Macaca fascicularis: one gene and its partner. The protein of the gene in region 2 interacts with the protein of the main gene of each other region in a biochemical or structural test. Links are inferred from orthologs where the notes say so. Each region holds a gene or a part of one and is shown on either strand. Other genes may lie near its edges.

Region 1 (6,363 bases), on a different chromosome or scaffold from region 2:
AAAAACAAAAACAAAAAAATACCTGGGCTCAAATGATCCTCTCACTTGAGCCTCCAGAATAGTTAAGAGTCCAAGCATATGCCACTGTACCCTGCCAATTTTTTTTTTTTTTTTTTTTTTGAGATGGAGTCTCGCTCTGTCGCCCAGGCAGGAGTGCAGTGGCCGGATCTCAGCTCACTGCAAGCTCCGCCTCCCGGGTTCGGGCCATTCTCCTGTCTCAGCCTCCTGAGTAGCTGGGACTACAGGCGCCCGCCACCTCGCCCGGCTAGTTTTTTTTGTATTTTTTAGTAGAGACGGGGTTTCACCGTGTTAGCCAGGATGGTCTCTATCTCCTGACCTAGTGATCCGCCCGTCTCGGCCTCCCAAAGTGCTGGGATTACAGGCTTGAGCCACCGCGCCCGGCCCCCTGCCAATTTTTTTATTTTTTCTTAGAGACAGGGTGTCACTATGTTGCCCAGGCTGGTCTCGAACTCCTGGGCTCAATCAATCCTCTTGCTTTGGCCTCCCAAAGCGCTGAGATTACAGGTGTGAGCCACTGCACCTGGCCCACACTAACCTACCTCCTCCTCCTCCTGCCCCCATCAAGATTCCTCCCTGCTCCAAACTTTTGCCGAGGCTATTCCCCCTCCCCAGAATGCCTGTCTTTATGAACTCCTACACATCCTTCAAAGCCCAGCTAGTGGTCACCTCCTCTAGGAATTACACCTCTAACCTTTTTGGAGAAGATTGAGCCATCCAGGGAGGCTTCTTTATGTTTACACCAGGGGTGGTGCAAGACTAAGCTACAGTCTCTCTCAGGTAACACCCTCCCACACACCTTTTACTCCTTTGCTACCTGTGCCAGCCATCTGCTCCATTTCACAGAGGTAAAAACTCAGGCAAAGTGGGGCACTGACAGTCATAGAGGGAGAAATGTGGCAGAGCCGGGTCTCAAACCTGGAATTCTACACTCTCAGCTATCAGGCAGAGGCAGGAGCGGTGGCTCAAGACTGTAATCCCAGCATTTGGGAGGCTGAGGCAGGTGGATCGCCAGAGATCTGGAATTAGAGACTAGTCTGGTCAACTTGGTGAAACCCTGTCTCTACTAAAAATACAAAAATTAGCCAGGCATGGTGGCGGGTGCCTGTAGTCCCAGCTACTAGAGAGGATGAGGCAGGAGAATTGCTTGAACTTGGGAGATGGAGGTTGCAGTGATCCAGCCTGGGCAACATAGCAAGACTCTGTCTCAAATAAAAACAAAAACAAAAAAACAACCTATCAGAGATGCAGAAAAGACCTTCAAAGAGGTTTCCCTGGGGGTTTCAGAAGCTGCTTGGAATGTTCAGGGACTTCCCTCACCTGGGAAGGTCAGCATCTGCTCACCCACCCTCCAAATCAGGAGCAAAGCTGATCATTTACCCAGAGGCTTCCTTGTCCTGACACAATGATAGGAGAATGTCCTTTGTCCCTCACCGTGTCATTTTACCCATCAGAGGAGGTCTCACCTGATTGCAAAGTAAACACAGAAGCCATGTCCCCCACACTGTTAAAGGCCTTGCTAGGACTAGAACCCAAGGCTAATCCCAAAGCCACTTGGCCAGTTTTTATTTATTTATTTATTTATTTATTTATTTATTTATTGAGACGGAGTCTCGCTCTGTCGCCCAGGCTGGAGTGCAGTGGCGCGATCTCGGCTCACTGCAAGCTCCGCCTCCCGGGTTCACGCCATTCTCCTGCCTCAGCCTCCCGAGTAGCTGGGACTACAGGCGCCCACAACTGCGCCCGGCTAATTTTTTTGTATTTTTAGTAGAGACGGGGTTTCACCGTGGTCTCGATCTCCTGACCTTGTGATCCGCCCGCCTCGGCCTCCCAAAGTGCTGGGATTACAGGTGTGAGCCACCGCGCCCGGCCCAGTTTTTATTTTTTAGAGACAGGGTCTCTCTCAGTCACCCAGGCTGGAGTGCAGTGGTGTCATCACGGCTCACTGCAGCCTGGACATCCCGGGCTCAGGCGATCCTCCCACCTCAGCCTCCTGAGTATCTGGGACTACAAGTATGCCACCCACGCTTGGCTAGGTTTTTTATTTTTTGTAGCTATGGGGTCTTGCTGTGTTGCCCAGGCTGGTGTCCAACTCCTGGCCTCTAAGCAATCCTCCTACTTCGGCCTCCTAAATCGCTGGGATTATAGGCATATAGAGCCACTGTGCCTGGCCTGCCCAGTGCTCTTCTGTTTTTTCTTCTTTGATTTTGTTTTGTTTTCATTTGAATTCCTTATTTTGGCCTTGGTAACTAATTCTCACCATTCAAAGTCCCCAAAGTAGGAAGAACGCAAAGAGAATTCTCAGCTGAGCGCAGTGGCTAACGCCTGTAATCCCAGCCTTTGGGAGGCCGAGGCGGGCAGATCACAAGGTCAGGAGATCGAGACCAGCCTGGCCAAGATGATGAAACCCTGTCTCTACTAAAAATACAAAAATTAGCCGGGCATGGTGGTGGGCGCCTGTAATTCTAGCTACTTGGGGGGCTGAGGCAGAAGAATCGCTTGAACCCAGGAGGGAGAGGTTGCAGTGAGCCGAGATCATGTCATTGCACTCCAGGCTGGGGACACTGCAAGATTCTGTCTCAAAAAGACAACAACAACAAAAAAGAATTCTCGGTCGGGCGCAGTGGCTCACGTTGTAATCCCAGCACTTTGGGAGGCCGAGGCGGGCGGATCACCTGAGGTTGGGGTTTGAGACCAGCCTGACCAACATGGAGAAACCCTGTCTCTACTAAAAATACAAAATTTGCCAGGCGTGGTGGCGGGTGCCTATAATCCCAGCTACTCGGGAGGCTGAGGCAGGAGAATCACTTAAACTCGGGAGGCGGGGGTTGCAGTGAGCAGAGATCATGCCATTGCACTCCAGCCTGGGCAACAAGAGTGAAACTCTGTCTCAAAAAAAAAAAAAAAAAAAGAATTCTCCACACCCAAACCCTCTCCCACAGCCTCGCAGCCTGTCTTCTCATAGCCAACTAATATTGTCATTTCTCCCACTTCCTTTTAGGACTATTTTATACATAAATACAGCCTCCCCGAAACTGCCCCTCTGCCACTCCCTAATGTGAGGGTGGCATGCCATTCATATTCAACATACCTTCTTTCGTTTCTTTTCTTTTCTTTTTTTTTTTTTTTGAGACGGAGTTTCACTCTTCTTGCCCAAGCTGGAGTGCAATGGCGTAATCTCGGCTCACCGCAACCTCTGCCTCCCAGGTTCAAGAGATTCTCCTGCCTCAGTCTCCCAAGTAGCTGGGATTACAAGTATGTGCCACCATGCCTGGCTAATTTTTTTTTGTATTTTTAGTAGAGACGGGGTTTCTCCATGTTGGTCAGGCTGGTCTCGAACTACTGACCTCAGGTGATCCGCCCATCTCAGCCTCCCAGAGTGCTGGGATTACAGGCATGAGCCACTGCGCCCAGCCACCTTCTTTCATTTTGACTTTACAATACACCCCAGAGCTTATTCTTTTTCAGTTCACAGGAACTTCCTGATTCTTCTACACGGTCGCATGCTATTCTGTGGTATGGCCAAGCCACGCTTTCTCTCTCTAGCCTTTCCCATTTGCCCTTTGTACAAAGTGGCAGTGAATAGTGCCATAACTCCCACCACTTCCCTTGTAGGTAGGGACACCTATAGACCTCTTTCCAGGACTGGGTTTTTTTTTTTTTTTTTTTTTTGCTGTTTTTTTGTTTTTGTTTTTGAGACAGGGTCTCATTCTGTCTTCCATGCTGGAGTGCAGTGGCATGATCATAGCTCACTGCAGCCTCCATCTCCCTGGGCTCAGGTGATCCTCACACCTCAGCCTCATGAGTACCTGGGATTACAGACTTATGCCACCATGCCTAGCTAATTTTTTTTTTTTTTTTTTTTTTTGAGACACAGTCTCACTCTGTCACCCAGGCTGGCTAGAGTGCAGTGGCATGATCTCAGCTCACTGCAACCTCGGCCTCCTGGGTTCAAGTGATTCTCCTGCTTCAGCCTCCCAGGGATGGACTATAGGCACACTCCACCATGCCTGGCTAATTTTTTTGTTTTTTTGTTTTTTTTTTTTTGAGACGGAGTCTCGCTCTGTCGTCCAGGCTGGAGTGCAGTGGCCGGATCTTGGCTCACTGCAAGCTCCGCCTCCCAGGTTCACGCCATTCTCCTGCCTCAGCCTCCTGAGTAGCTGGGACTATAGGCGCCCGCCACTTTGCCCGGCTAGTTTTTTTGTATTTTTGTTTTGTAGAGATGGGGTTTCACCGTGTTAGCCAGGATGGTCTCGATCTCCTGATCTCGTGATCCGCCCGCCTCGGCCTCCCAAATTGCTGGGATTACAGGCATGAGCCACCGTGCCTGGCCTAAAGGGACTTTCTAAGGATGTCCCCACCTGCCCTTCAAGGAGCCCCTCCTTGACCCTACCAGCAAGTAACAAAGATTCTCCCAGGCCACTGCAGGTGCCCCTCTACGTCTCTCCCACTCCAGTCTGCCTAGTCCAGCCCTCCGGGCTCAGTTACTCACAGTACACGGTGAGGAGGGTTTTAGCTGATGACTGCCCATCAGGGCAGTTTGAATAGCACATTGGTTGACTATCTTCCTGCACATTGCTCAGTTCATACATCTTCCAGTTGTTTCCACCCGGGAGTATCTCCTTTTTAGGCAACGGAGTCTCCATGCCCAACGAGATGGGCTGGTCACAGGAGGCACTGCAATTCACTTTCACGGAGCCTCCCCGGGGCAGGATGACTTCTGGGGGGAACACAGATGTCTGGGCATTGCCAGGTCCTAGAAGAAACGCGGGAAGAGGTGACAGGCATTACAAATCAGGTTCATCAATGGGAATGTGCGCCCAGCCTGCGCCGGGTGCTGGAGGCACAGCCTCAACAAGACAATACTTTGCCTTCGATGTGGAAGTTAAAGAGAAAAATTCATGAGCAGGCCAGGCGCGGTGGCTCACGCCTGTAATCCCAGCACTTTGGGAGCCAAGGCGGGCAGATCACTTGAGGTCAGGAATTTGAGATCAGCCTGGCCAACATGGCGAAACCTCGTCTCCACTAAAAATACAAAAATTAGCCGGTCATGGTGGGATGTGCCTGTAGTCCCAGCTATTTGGGAGGCTGAGGCACCAGAATCACTTGAACCCGGGAGGCGGAGGTTACAGTGAGCCAAGATTGTGCCACTGTACTCCAGACTGAGCAACAGAACGAGGCTCTGTCTCAAAAAAAAAAAAAAAAAAAATTATGAGCAAACAAGATAATTAATAACTGATGTTAATATGAGCTTTGACAAAAACAAAACAGGGTGATAGAATAGACAGTGCCTTGGTGACAGGGTAATATTTCAGCAGAGATCGAAATGATGAGAAAGGGCTGGCTGTCCAGAGAAAAGGGAAGTAAGTTCCAGGCAAGTACAGAGGTCCTCGGGCAGGGTGGCTGGAGCTGAGTGAGCAAGGATGAAGAGCGGGAGATCAATTAAGGAAGATCCCATGGGCACTGAAGGCCATGCTAAAGATGTGTGCTGTTATTTATTATTATTATTATTTTTGAGATGGAGTCTCGCTTTGTCACTCAGACTGGAGTGCAGTGGCGCGATATCAGCTCACTGCAACCTCCGCCTCCCAGGTTCAAGTGATTCTCCTGCCTCAGCCTCCAGAGTATCTGGGACTAAGGCAAGCACCACCACACCCGGCTAATTTTTGTATTTTTAGTAGAGATGGGGTTTCGCCACGTTGGCCAGGCTGCTTTCAAACTCCTGACCTCAAGTGATCTGCCCACCTCAGCCTCCCAAAGTGCTGGGATTATAAGGTGTGAGACACCGTGCCCGGCCACATGTGTTCTTTATACTTAGGGCAATAGGGAGCCATGGGAGGATTTTAGCCATCGGTTTTTTTGTTTTTTTAACAGGTCTCCCTCTGTCACCCAGGCTGGAATACAGTGGTACAATCATAGCTCACTGTAACCTTGAACTCCTGGGCTCAAGTGATCCTCCCACCTCAGCCTCCCAAGTAGCTGGGACTACAGGACACCACCATACCTGGCTAATATTTGAAAAACATTTTTGTAGACATGGGGTCTCACTATGTTGCTAAGGCTGATCTCAAACTCTTCGCCTCAAGCGATTCTCCCACCTAAGCCTCCCAAAATGCCAGGATTACAGGTGTGAGTCACTGTGTCCAACCAGATTTTAACGTGAAGTTGGTGCCCTCCTCCCTCCCAAGAAGTAAGGTGGAGAGAGTCAGCCCTCCAGGAATCAGACTGGCTCCTCACTCCCTGAGACACGTAGCTTCCCCCTCTTTGGGCCTCAATTTCCCCATCTGTAAGGTGTGTGAGTATAGCCACCCTGTTCCTTGCTAATACAAGTAACTCAGCACAGGG
Region 2 (6,363 bases):
GAAAAGGGGCAAACAGAATCTGCCCATGGTCTGAAGCCAGCCTGTGTGGCCAAGGTCAGCAGGCAGGACAGGGCCCCCGTGCGCCTGGCCACCTTGCCAGTCGGGGGAACACAGCAGACACAGTGGCCAGTTTCCATGGACAGCCTGTGTTGAAGTTTTATTTTTTTTCTATACACATGATTGATTAACAATTTAATGAATGGGATGTCATTTTATACCCTGACAAGTTTAAATGTAAATAAATTGGCACCACCTTTAACCGGACTGTCCTGCCTTGCACAGGAGACACGCTCCTCACCTCAGCAGCCTCAAGCCCTCCCTTCTCACGTCTCCATGCAAGGACTGTGCAGGTCAGAGCAGGGCTGTCCCCCCTGATGAGCCCCTAGAAGCACCTGGCTGGCCATGGCTGTCATTTTGAGGGCAGAAAATAACTGGATTTCTGGTTAATTGGTGACATCCTCGAGAGCTGTTGCAAGCCATGTCTCGGCCGCGTGACGGGGCAGACGTGGTGGGCCCGATGGCCTTGTCTTCACCAAGTGCTCCTAACTCTCAGCAAACTTGGGGTTCATGACCGTCGTGGTGGCGCTCTTGAAAAGGGGATTATCCTGGTGGGAAACGCAAACAGGCTTGTGAGTGTGGGAGGTTTTCAGAGCAGAATCTTTATACCTGAAGATACTCCCCGCATGGAAGCCGTCGCTTTGAGGAAGAGCTGGAGGTGGGGCAGCCCTCCCAGGGTCCCAGCACCGGCGGCCAAGCTCACCCACAGCGGCGGATGCCCAGAGGACAAGCTGCCCGGGGAGGCCGAGGTGCAGCCATGCGTGGGTGTCCATGGCCTCCCGCAGCAGGAGGTCGCAGAGTGTGGGACGTACACGCCCCTCTGCGTGGGACCCCGGAGGATGGCAGCTTACGTTGTTCCACTGGGACTTGAGCTTCTCCTTCTCAAAACGCCTGTACTCCCGGAGGTCGCTCAGGTGGGTCAGGGCCTTCCAGATGACCAGCAGGAGGACGCCGATCAGCACGATGCCTGCCACAGTGCCCCCGACGATGGCGGCGATGTTGGGGCCCGCCACGCACTCTAGGAAGAAGCAGCGCACCGAGCATCAGTCCAGCCCCATCTCACTGGGCCGTGTGTGCCCACAGGTCCGAGGTCACCGCACAACACAGCACTTAGAGAGACGGAGGTTCCCAGGGCCCTGGCTCACCGTCCATCACCACGGCCAGGGGTCAGTGAGAACCTGGCCGAGCCCCTGCCGGATTCAATGCCAGGCCCCATGGTTCCAAATGAAATCTAAGGGCCACTGCCACCACCCCTGCTCACAGAGAAGAAGGCAGGGCCAGGGTACTGGGCAGCCAGGGCAGAGCGCTAATACTGGGAGGTAGGAGACAGTGTGAGGGACCCCACTGTTCTACATCAGAGTTCAGAATAAGGCTCAGGGTCCCTGCTGGCGTTCGCTCCCCCTACTGCGAAGGTGATTTATGGTCGTCAAGGACAGGCCCAGATCTGAGCTCAGCAGGTGAGGCCGCTACCAGGATAAGCAGCGTGAGGTCCTGGTTCCCGCAGCAGCTGTGCTCACCTCCTGAGCATGGGGACTGTGGCCATAGTGGACCAGGCCCACAGCTGCTGACCCTGGGACAGACAGGCAGTCCCTGGCCTGACCTGGCACCCTCACTCCCCATGCCCCTTCCTGCCATCCTGACCTGCACCCTCACTCCTTGGGCCCCCTCCTGCCGTCCCGACCCGCACCCTCACTCCCCGGGTCCCCTCCTGCCATCCTAACCCGCACCCTCATTCCCCGTGCCCCCTCCTGCCATCCTAACCCGCACCCTCACTCCCCATGCCCCTCCTGCCATCCTGACCCGTACCCTCACTCCCTGTGCCCCTCCTGCCATCCTGACCCGCACCCTCACTCCCCGGGCCCCCTCCTGCCATCCTGTCTTTCCTGGTGGGGGGTCTGCCTTCCTTCACCTGTCCTCAAAGGTGAAGTGACTTGACCGGGATTGCACAAACCAGACATGACCCAGGTCTGTCCCTCAAAGTGGCCTGCAGGGGTTCCTGCCCTGGCAGACGGGGGTCTGCAGCCCCAGGCCCACGTGTGGGTTGTGAGCTCCAGGCATGTCAGAGCACTGGGCTCAGAGCACCCCACTGCCTGCCTTGGGTCCCCTCCTGGGGAGGGAGGAGCTCCCAGGTCTCAGTCCTGCAAGAGTTCTGGCTGGCTGCTGGCCATGCCTGATGGAGTCCGCCAGCGGCCCCCCAGTCCCAGCCCCTCTGCCTCTCGGGAGCCTGTGGAACATGAGACCTGAAAAGACAGGGTCAGTGCCACCAAGGTCACCGTGGGGCTGGGCCTGGTTCCGACTGGAGCCAAATGAGTGACGAGCAGAGAGTGTTGGGGGATGGCAGTGCCTGGTGCCCCTGGGCCCTTCCAGGGCTGAAAGCCGAGCACCAGGATCTTTCAATCCCCTCAGGGGAGCTTCACTCAGCAGCCTGACCTCAGGCCACCCCTAGGGACCTGCAACTCCAAGCCTGGCCCCATGAGGCATCCAGTGGGAGATGACCTGGCCCGGGCAGTGTGGCATGCTGGTGGGCCTGCCCGGTGTGGAGCAGCGGTGCCCCAGGGAACAGGCCATCTGCTGCCCAGCTTGATGCGGGGTCAGGTGAGGAGGGGATGGAAAAGGGAGGCTGCTCGGGGTTGGGGGAACTGGCCTCTGGCCTCCTTGCAATGCCACCAAGGGCATCCCGCATGGCTCACCCACCCTGCTAGGCCCACACCACTGGAGGTGAGACCCTGCTTCTGCACCACCCTCGCCTCTGCAGAGACCCCGCAGTCGGAGCTCTGGAGCCGGTCCCCGCTACACCCCAGTGGCCTCACCTCGGCTCTCATCCACATAGATGATGTAGTGATCCCACCCGTCCTGCTGCTCCAGCATGTACGTCACCCAGCAGCCCTCTGAGTCCCTCTCCTTGCAGGTCCTGCCCTTCACGGGGTTGTTCGACAGCTGCAGGCGCCGACACGCCGCGCTGCAGTTCTTCCCGAAAGGGCCTTTGTCGAACTTCAGGCACTCAGCACAGGAGCTGTGGGGAGCCAGGCGTGAGCGTGGGTGCCAGGGCGTGCGGGGGCTCAGGCATCAGGGGCTTGGGCTTGGGTGTGTGTCCACCAGGTGGGGCAGGTGGGGTTGGGGTGTCCTCAGGCCAAGGAGGGGGCCCGAGTGGGGCAGATGCGGGGTGCAGTGGGTGAACTGGGAGCCTGATCCCAGGGCCCATGGCAGGTGCGCACAGGAGGGAGGGGGGCACAGGGGTGCAGCGGCCGCTGAGGGCTCCTCAGTCCAAATGCACCCGCAGAGAACCCTGAGGTGCAGAGGTGCTCACTGGGGACCCTGAGTGAGCCCAGCTGCTGGGGAGGTGGCCGGGGAGCAGGGATCCCTGCCCACCCTGCCTGCTCCACCTGCACTCACATGTGCTCGCCGCAGGGCGAGGGGCAGCCGGGGCACTCCTGGCACAAAGGAGGCTGGTAATTCCTTTCGCACTCACACACGTTGCAGCGGCACCGGCCACGGCCGCTGCACTCGACGCGCCGCGCGTTCAGGCAGCCCTCGGTGGTCCTCTCGCACTGGCACGCTGAGCCTTCGAAGCCCTGGAGGCAGCGGCACTTCCCGCAGAAGCAAAGCCCCCTCGCTGGAAGACGGGGGCAGCACGACTAAGCTCCTGCTTGGCCTGGGGACCGAGACCCGCCCGAAACCCCACTGCTGTCGCTCCCTCCGGCCCACCTGCCCCCTCCAGCTTGGGGGATGTGCCTGAGCAAAAGGCACCGGGCCACTAGCCAGGCCTTCCAGCCCCTGTCAGCCACGTGGCCACCTCCTGGCCAGTCTGGGCCTGCCCCTGCCCTGCTGTGAATGGGACCTCGGTAGGGCTGTGATCGTTCCTCCTGTGGACCCTCCCCACAAGGACCCCTTGCCCTCATGGAGACAGAAACTGAGGCAGGGCGGGGTGCAGGGTCGTCCAAGTTCCTGCTGACGCCCAGTGGCCGGGCGAGACTTGCGCTGTCTGTCCTCAGGATCCCCCCTTTTTGTTCCACTCGTTGCGTGTTCCAGAATGCACCCCCCAACGCCGAGTCTGTGCCGCAGGACGGCTGTTGTACAGCAGGGACCTACGGGCTCACCCGGGCCGCCGCAGACCTGGCCGTTGTAGCGCTCACAGTTGACGGTGTCACATTCGCAGTACTGCCCGTATATCATCTTGCCGGGGACGTCGCTGGTGTGGCACAGACACTGCCCGCAGACGCAGTCCCCCAGCCCTGAGCAGATGACGGAGTTGTTGTCCTTCCGGCAGCTTCCTTCCAGCTCCTGGCTGCTCCGGCCCTGCGTCTGGCACTCACAGGTTTTCCCAATGTAGCCAGTGTCACACCTGGGGACAGGAGGAGCTCCAAGGTCAGGCTCCCCACAGTGATGTGAGACGGCCGCCCCGTCCTCCAGGCCCCTTGCCCTTGGTGGAGAACACCCCTGTGGCACACTGTCTGTGCCTTCCTCGAGGCCTACTGAGGACCTGCCATGTACTAAATGTGCTCAAAACGTGCGGGGGCCCTGGGCTCCCTCCCCAGGATGTCCCGAGGGGAAAGCAGACACCTGGCCTCGGCCTGAGCATGCAGCGGCTCGGCAGGCTCACTGTGCAGCTGTGTTGCTGCCATGCACATGGCCTGTGCTGCGACACTGGTGCCCTGTGAGTGGCTGGTGTCTGCTCCTGCATGCCCCACGTGGTGGCCAGCGGGGACTTGGCACTGCCACCTGCCACAGCCCCGCCCTCTCTCCAGCCAGCTGCCGCCTGCGTTTGTGCACTGACCGGCCAGGTTGTGGGAGAACTCAGGGACAAGTGGTTTTGTCAGATGTGGAAGCTGTCACCAAGACGCGGGCAGACAGGAGCCCCTGAGGCATCCTCAGGGACAGCCCTGCCATGGGCTGTCTTGCTCCCCAGAGGAGGAAGCCACAGGACCGAGCATCTGATTACCTGCGGCAGGGCACCCCGCGACACCTGCCAAGTGTTTCGACTGAGTCACCCCTACAGTCCCGTGAAGAGGCCGCCCCAGGACTGCACACCCAGGATAGTGGGCAGGGTGGGCACTGAGGCACGGGGACAGCCAGAGACCACCAAGACCACAGAGACCATCACTGTCCTGAGAAATGGGAGGAGGCTGGGGGCAGCAGGGACCTGCAGGTCCACTGCCACCAGGGCGTGGACTGGCACAGCAGTCTGGAGAGGGGAGGAGGTGGCCAGAGCAAACGGGGCAGAGCCCTGGGAGGTCAGCCCAGCAGCTCCGCCAGGCAGGCAAGGAAAGGGGGAGAGCCATCCAGCCCCAGGGTAAGCCTCCTGGCTGAATGCCATGTGAACCTCCCCGCTGGGTCCACCTGTCCCCAGCTTCTCCCTGAGGTGGGGTGCCCACGCCTGGCAGGGGGTGTGCACTCCCGAAGGGAGGCCTATGGGGCCCAGGCTGCCAGAAGCAGTCACCTGTCCCAGGAGGCTCTCTGGCCTCTCATGCCCCAGGGCTGCCAGCCTGATAGCCTTGGGTCCCCAAGGACAGAAAGAAGCCAGCTCCGAGGGTCAAGGAAGGTCAGGCAGAGAAAGTGACCTACTCAAGGCCATGGGCACGCCCAGTGGGGACTCCTTGTGCCCCTGACATGGGCCTCTATCCTCTGGTGAGGGGGTCCTCCTGCCCACCAGTCCCCTGCCTTGGGTCCTCCATGGCCAGAGAGTGTAGAGTACAGGCTGGCATCGCTGGTGCCCTGGCTCAGGAGCACGGGGGAGGGCTTGCCGAGGGTTTCTGGGTTCCAATCCCAAATCTCCCCACCTCCTGCAGAAGGGGGCCCCCAGGACGCCCGATCTGTGGAGTGGGGGTGGGGATGGAGCCACCTGTGCCCACCTTACCTGCTTACACCTGCCCTGTGGGGTGGGGCTGGGGGAGGCTTCATGGGAACCTGCACCCACCTCACCTGCAGACACCTGCCCTGTGGGGTGGGGCTGGGGGAGGCTTCACGGGGACCTGTGCCCGCCTCACCTGCAGACACCTGCCCTGTGGGGTGGGACTGGGGGAGCATTCACAGGGACCAGGGCCCACCTCACCTGCAGACACCTGCCCTGTGGGGTGGGGACCTGTGCCCGCCTCACCTGCAGACACCTGCCCTGTGGGGTGGGGCTGGGGGAGGCTTCACGGGGACCTGTGCCCGCCTCACCTGCAGATGCCACACTCCAAGAAGCCCTTGCCATGGCAGAAGCCGCGGTCTCTGCTCTGGTCCCGGCACCGGCACTCACACTGGGGAAGGACCCGTACGGTCACTGTGTCCGTGAAGCCCAGTGCCCGGATGACAAACGACTGCTCC

The links.
Region 1: the proteins of ITGB2 (region 2) and ICAM1 form a complex in vitro, tested with the Homo sapiens proteins (4 studies listed by BioGRID). The link is inferred for Macaca fascicularis from reciprocal best matches to the Homo sapiens genes ITGB2 and ICAM1.

Annotation. Positions count from the first base shown.
Region 1 is NC_088393.1:10,829,989-10,836,351, reverse strand, and holds part of ICAM1 (intercellular adhesion molecule 1), read right to left. Parts: intron 4,775-6,363; coding exon 4,511-4,774; intron 1-4,510. UniProt on the Homo sapiens protein: ICAM proteins are ligands for the leukocyte adhesion protein LFA-1 (integrin alpha-L/beta-2).
Region 2 is NC_088377.1:2,151,630-2,157,992, reverse strand, and holds the end of ITGB2 (integrin beta-2), read right to left. Parts: coding exon 6,217-6,363; intron 4,400-6,216; coding exon 4,155-4,399; intron 3,671-4,154; coding exon 3,451-3,670; intron 3,071-3,450; coding exon 2,868-3,070; intron 1,076-2,867; coding exon 909-1,075; intron 606-908; coding exon 543-605; 3' UTR 131-542; downstream 1-130.